2 linked regions of the Danio rerio genome follow. The protein of the gene in region 1 purifies or fractionates together with the protein of each later gene. This does not show direct contact. Links are inferred from orthologs where the notes say so. Each region holds a gene or a part of one and is shown in the gene's direction. Other genes may lie near its edges.

Region 1 (3,095 bases):
AGGGCTTCAGCGTCAACGCTTGACTGAAGGCGTGTCTGAAGTTGGGGCTGACGCGATTGTCATAGCAGCGTCAGCCAATGAAATTCAATCAGCAATAGGCCACTGTCTAGCTGGTGTATTTGCATACAGCAATCTGATTGGCTGACGCTTCTGTCAGTGCTTGAAAAGTTGAGCTAGTCCCAACTTCTGCAGCGAGCAACACCTCTGAAACGGCGCCGACGGATCCACAATACAGTTCGGCAACGCCTGACGTCACAGCTCCTACTGGCTGGCCTCCGTTACTACACTCACCCCCCCTAAACCTCACTCCCATCCGGGTCACGGCACCAATGTAACCACACCAGTATTACATCACCCAACCCGCTCCAAGCTAGTATTGAACCGGCGACCTTCCCCAGTCAGTTGCTCTTTCAAGGAGGCTAAAGACCATGGCCTCTAGCGTCTGTCACTAGAGCACCTTTAGAGCTCAGAGGAGTGAGGTTAACCTGCACAGCACCTACTGGCTGGCCTCCATTACAGTAGCATGCTAAAAACAATATAGGGGCTGCAAAAAACAAACAAACATGCAAATATAAAACTAAATATATCTCAGTAATAAACCTAAATCTCTGCTACATTTTGTATGTTTAATCTCAGGCAGTCACAGCTTACCCTAAATTGAATAGTGTATTTGTCGGTGTATCCTTGTTTGTTTATTTTTTGTTCAATCGTTTGTTGTGATCTCAGTATCAGGAAGAGATCGAGGTGTTAAACCAGGTTGCGAGGCATCGGCCACGCTCAACACTAGTCATGGGCATCCAACAGGAAAACCGGCAAATACGGGAACTGCAGCAAGAAAACAAAGGTGTGTGCTTGGTGTTTTTTTTTTTCCTGCATGCTATTTGAGGCCTGTTTTTAAAGCCCAGTCTCTGTGCAGAGCTGCACACGTCTCTGGAGGAGCATCAGTCTGCGCTGGAGCTGATCATGAGCAAATACAGAGAGCAAGTGTTTCGACTTCTGATGGCCAGCAAAAAAGAGGATCCCACCATCGTCACGCAGCTCAGAGAACAGCACACGAACGTCAGTCCCCCACGCACACACTGAAATTCACTATTAAAAAGCTGCTACACAAATAGTCTCAGGAATCATACTGGAAATCCTTGAAAAACTTCAGTTTTTTTAATCTATAGTGTTTTCAAAGGTTTAAAAAGTGCTTAGATTTTAGGTAAAGTGCTTGCAAATGTAATTGTGCCACTTGCATAATAATAAATGGGTAATAATAACTCACTTTAAATGAATTAAAATTAATATTACAAAGAGTAAATCAGTTTTTCGATATTAGGCTCGGTGCAAACATGCCATTTCTTAGAATACCACACTATACTATAACAGAAAGCAGCTGATATAATGTGATTAAAGCCTGCAAATTTGCCACACTTGTGCATGGCTTGAAAATGCAGCTGGAAAAGTGTAATGTAAAACTAGAACCTAAAGTTCATTGATAAACTTTGATGTTGGCTTGAGAAAGTCAAACGTTTATGGCATTGTTACGTGGTTGCTGAGCAGTTGCTAAATGGCAATGCTCGTGTACATGTTTGATCAAATGCTAATACTTAGTAGGCATTTCTAGCATATGTTATTGCATTTAGATAATCATTCATAGCATGTAGCTAATCGTTATAAGCACTTGGCTTCCATTATCATTGTTACCATGCATAGTACACAGGAAGTCCCATTTGCTAGAATGAGTCAAACAAGCCAATGCCCAAGTCTCTACGATGTTCTGATGTAGAGATATTGCTATTTTTAAATGGTTGCTAGGTTATACTGTTTTAATGCTATGGGGACATTTGACAGGTTAGTGATGATACATCAAAGCTTCTTGGCAATATGAGTGATCTTAATCAACCCCGATGTTTCTATGACAGTCTTTATGAGTGTCAAAAACTGGACTTAAACATTATGTATTCCTGGTGTTGGGTTGCGGCTGGAAGGGCATTCGCTGTGTAAAACAAATGCTGGATAAGTTGGCGGTTCATTCCGTTGTGGCGACCCCTGATTAATAAAGGGACTAAGGGAATGAACATTATGTAAAAATGGCTTGCTGTATTTTTTTGAAAATACAACACTTAATAATTGTGAAGGTGATACATGCAAAAATGGCTTGCCATATCAGTAACAAATATGGAGTTTAAGTCAAAAATGGCTTGCCATATTTTGAGAAAAATAATGCTTAAAAATTATTTATTGAAAAACTATAAATCTGATAAACCTTAAAGATATAGCAACAAAATCTAACGCATCTAAATACAGCTTTTGGCCAAATTTGGGGCTTGTATAATTTTTTTATATGCCCGGATTATAAAAATATAATATTTAACATTTTTTATTTAAAAAAAATGATAAGTCTAACAGGCATGAGGAGATATAGCAACAATCTTGAATGCAGAAGGCACATTTAGACCACATTTGGGCCTTGTGGCATGAACGGCCTTGGAGGAGATACGTTTGTTTTCAAGGACAGAGTAGCATAACAGCATGTTGGCTTTCTCAAGCCAACACAATAACGCTCATTTTGTGAATAATTATATACAATTAATCTAAGCTACAAACATTGAATTTATTGTGCACAAATTGGCTTGCAAAGAATATGCACACAATAATATATACATGCAAATAATAAATAATAATAGGTTAAAATCTAAAATGACTCCACTATGATCTGAACTGTAGGCGTCTCGTCATTTATAATGCCAACTGCACACTGCAGATCCTACTTTTGCAGATTCACTCGTTGCAATATCAATGCTGAAACAATATATTGTGTAGGTGTTAACTGTTACGGTGTTTACGTCACAGGAGATGCAAGCGCACATCGAAAAAATCAACGAAATGGCCACGGTGATGAGGAAAGCCATCGAAGTTGATGAAGGACGACTGTGTGAGGATGAGGAGAGAATCAAACGCCTGGAGGTGACACACGCTTCAGTATAAATCACAGTAACTGGAGTGATATGACTAAAAGTTCCCAATATGAGTCGTTTCATTTCACAATAATGAGATTTATGAGATCATAACCACTTGATTATCTGGTAACACTTTAAAATAATGGTCCA
Region 2 (4,329 bases), on another chromosome or scaffold:
AGTTACAGTTACAAAATCCAATTCATAAATTCTAAACGAGATTCATTAATAAACAAATCCAACTTGTAAATTGAAAACATGATTCATAAATACACAAATCCAATCCATAAATTAAAATCGCGATTTATAAATACACAAATCCAATTCGTCAATTCAAAACGCGACTCATAAATACACAAATCTAACTTGTCAATTCAAAACACGATTTATAAATACACAAATTCAATTCGTAAATTCTAAACGTAATTCATAAATACACAAATACATTCCGTCAACTCAAAATGCGATTCATAAATACACAAATACAATTCGTAAATTTAAAACGTGATTCATAAATACAAAAATCCAATTGGTAAATTTAAAATGTGATTCATAAATACACAAATTTAATTCGTAAGTTCAAAACGCGATTCATAAATACACAAATTTAATTTGTGAGTTCAAAACGCGATTCATAAATACACAAATCCAATTCGTCAATTCAAAACGCGATTCATACATACACAAATTCAATTCGTAAATTCAAAACGTGATTCATAAATACATAAATCCAATTCGTCAACTCAAAACGTGATTCATAAATACACAAATACAATTGGTAAATTCAAAACGTGGTTCATAAATACACAAATCTAATTAGTCAATTTAAAATATGATTCATAAATACACAAATCCAATTCGTAAATTCAAAACACGATTCATAAATACACAAATCCAATTCATAAACTGAAAATGCGATTCATTTACACAAATCAGATTCGTAAATACAAATCGCGATTCAAAAATACTCAATCCAATTCATAAGTTTACATGCAATTTATAATTACTCAAATTCAATTTGTAAATTTAAAATGTGATTCATAAATACACAAATCCAATTCGTAAATTGAAAACACTATACAAAAATACACAAATCTAATTAATTTGGTGAAAGTATTTATGATTTTTGCTTGTGAATTTACAAATTGTTGGTTGTATTTACAAGTTGTGTTTTGAATTTACAAACTGGATGTTGTAAATGTGAATTGTGCTGTGCATGGAGGAGTTTTATTATGTACATGTATTATTTTTGAGACTGATCTGACTGGCTCCATACTTTTTTTGTCTGTTCAACAAATTGTTTTACCTGTTGTTGTCTTGCTTGTTGATTGTAAATGAAATGCTATTACAAAAGAAAAAAATAGCATCCGAAAAATGAACAAACAAACATTATTTTCAATCCGCATGAAAAACGTCATCCTTTTTCTCTGGAAACGCGGATCCGCCTACATTTTCGCGTCACCGCAAAGCCCCGCCCCATATCTCGGTGGTGCGCGAGCCCCGCGGCGGTTTGTGGCCGGTGTGTATGTGTGTGTATATCTCTTCAAGAGGACGACTTACTTCCAATTATCCCGTCGCACACAACGATTTCCCTCCCGATTTCAGCGTTCCGAAAAGCGGAGACCTCCATGGCTTAACACGGGACCGTGTCATGGACTTTATTCGTGTATGACTTTCTTTTCTGGGGAAATTTTTGTGTCTCTCAGCAGGCTAAGCTAGTTACCGAGCTCGCGAGCTAATACTGGATTTACGCAAATTCTCCGCGCATGAAAGTTCCACAGACCGAACAAATAGCTGGTTTTCGGGGATAAATCAGCTCGGGGTTATTTATAAAGTCTCTTCCAGCTTGGACGGCTCGATAAGGTGAAAGTAGAAGGCCAGTGTTACCTCAGCGAAGCTAACAAGCTAATATGAAGTTAGCCAGCTAACGCTCTCGTGCGCAAGAAAACACCCTCCGCGCGAGCTGTGCTCTTGTATACAATCCTGACAGCTAAATACTTGCATTTGAAGTCTGTTTAAGTAGGCATTTGAGGTATTTTTCAATATTAATTACTCTGTCTTGGGGAGTGGTGGCTTGATGGTCTGCTCTGCATACTTCAGCCAAACCCACTCACATTATTATTAATCTTCATTACGGTTTAACATTTTCACAAGTGCATTTCGTGCCTAGCAGTCATTCCCTCTAAATATAGACACGCATGTCAACTTGACAGTAATACTTCTTTTTTTTTTTTAGGAGTAAAGGTTGACCAATTCAACAGGTTATTGGTGTACTAGTTGCTGGGTTGTTTACTGGCCAGGCCTATGCTTGTAAAGGGGGACGAGGATGAATTGTGTTGGGAACGAAGTATAACAGCTCGAATTGTGGACTGTCATCTGGACACCCAGATTTGTATGGAATTGGGCAGCTGTATTGGGTTTGGTTCGGCAACATGGGGGTCTCGCAAGGGGGCAAGAAGTCATCTACATAGTGTATAAATATACAGTCTTGTTGACGTTATGTAGTCGGTTTAGCAGGGGTCTTTTTGTAGAGTTGGAATTTTTTTCGTATTACTATGTGCGTTGGTCTGCTGGTCATTCATTAGGAAGAATTGGAGCAACAGGTCAGTCTGGATCAAGAAACCCTGTCTTTCGTCTCTGGTTGGAGTAACACTCCCAAGCCATCCTCAATGCCTTCAGCGCTGGCCGTGTTCTCCTGCCGCCCGAATTCACACCCGTTTCAGGAACGCCATGTTTACCTGGATGAGCCGGTCAAGATCGGGCGCTCCGTGGCCCGGTGTCGCCCTGCCCAAAACAACGCCACCTTCGACTGCAAAGTGTTGTCGAGGAATCACGCTCTGGTATGGTTCGACCACAAGACAGGCAAGGTAAGTCTGATGTTTCACCAATAGATTGGATGTTAACTATAAACATTATTCATTAGATGTACTTATTTTTTTTAAGGTAAGTGGTTGCAAAAATTAGCATGAGCTGAATTTAAACAAATAAACGTTACTACATTTAGTTTGTTTAAATTCAGTCTATATAAATTGTTTGCAACCACTTGCCTCAAAAAAGTTAGTAAGTCCAATGAATATTTTTTTCAGTGTTTGACATATCCACCTCCATCTTTCTTGAATTATTAAGATTTTCTTTGTATCTATCTGTCAATGTTGTCACAATTGTCTGTACTAGGATTATATAGATAATATCCCCACCCAAAAGTAGATTAAGATGGAATTTATGGCTAAATATACCACTGCATTAGATCAGTGTTTCTCAACCACGTTCCTGTAGGACCACCAACACTGCATATTTTGGATGTCTCCTTTATCTGTTACATTCATTACAGGTCTTTCAGTCTCTGCTGATGATCTAAATCAGGTGTGTTTGGTTAAGGAAACATGGGGTGTTTCTCAATAGGCGTTTTTCAGCGATCCTGCGTCCTCGTGTTCTTCTGTAATGTCGTCATTAACTGCCTATGTTCAGTTCCAAAACTCAAGACGGCAAGAACGGAGGACGCGTGAAAGTTGCCAGATGTGTTCTTGATATCGTAGAGTCATCGATGCAGACTTGAGCACAAAACTTGCTTGAGAAGTCCTAGAAGTCGTTGTGGCTGTATGAAGGAGGTGGGAAGCGCAGCATTTTATTTAGATTTATTATTAAAGTTTAGAGATGTAACTTATTTACTTCAGGAGTTTCCCTAAATGAGACGGTGAATTTAAACATTACCATGTAAATCATAATAATGGCATAAGCACATAAAGGGTGTTTACTTGTTGAAATTCGTGTTAAAATTAGTTTTATTTGTATTGTGAAGCATATATTTGTACGTTTTTTTTATGCATGGTATATATTATGTATGGGGGAAAACAATAAATCGTTGTTGTAGGAATGCTGTAATGTTTAAACCATATTCCATTAAAAACATGTGAAGGTCACGTCACCATCAGGAAGACCCAGGGAAGAACACAGCATCTCATTTCTCACAGGATGCGTTCTCTGTTCTCAGCGTTCTAGGAATTAAGAGACAGTCTAGGAACATGTGCAGAGCTGGTGGTCCTCCAGTAATGTGGTTGAGAAACACTGCATTAGATCACAGGTGTCAAACTCAGTTCCTTGAGGGCCGCAGCTCTGCACAGTTTAGTGCAACCCTAATTAAACACACCTGATGAAACTAATTGAATTCTTTAGGCTTGTTTGAAACACACAGGTAAGAGTGTTGAAGCAGGTTTGGAACTAGACTGCAGGTCAACGTCCCTCCAGGAACTGAAATTGACACCCCTGTGTTATATAGTAAATATATTAGCTTTTTCTTAAAACTAATCCAAAGATTCAATGAGCAAAAAAAAACACTATTTCAATGAGCTTTTAAAGGGATAGTTCACATAAAAAATGTAAATTCTGCCATGAAAGTCCACTTGCTCTAAAACTGAGTTTGTTTCTTCTTTTGAACAGAAAGAAAGGTTTATTGAAGAATGTCAGAGAAAGCAACTGACTTTAGTATTTTTACATTTATACTATGGATGT

Evidence for each region.
Region 2: the proteins of fgfr1op2 (region 1) and slmapa purify together in Homo sapiens (affinity purification with mass spectrometry; 3 studies listed by BioGRID and IntAct, with this or other methods). This does not show direct contact. The link is inferred for Danio rerio from reciprocal best matches to the Homo sapiens genes FGFR1OP2 and SLMAP.

What each region holds. Positions count from the first base shown.
Region 1 is NC_133179.1:2,052,579-2,055,673, forward strand, and holds part of fgfr1op2 (FGFR1 oncogene partner 2 homolog), read left to right. Parts: intron 1-726; coding exon 727-844; intron 845-916; coding exon 917-1,059; intron 1,060-2,838; coding exon 2,839-2,952; intron 2,953-3,095. UniProt on the Homo sapiens protein: May be involved in wound healing pathway.
Region 2 is NC_133186.1:44,735,037-44,739,365, reverse strand, and holds the start of slmapa (sarcolemma associated protein a), read left to right. Parts: upstream 1-1,298; 5' UTR 1,299-2,489; coding exon 2,490-2,687; intron 2,688-4,329. UniProt on the Homo sapiens protein: Associates with the striatin-interacting phosphatase and kinase (STRIPAK) core complex, forming the extended (SIKE1:SLMAP)STRIPAK complex.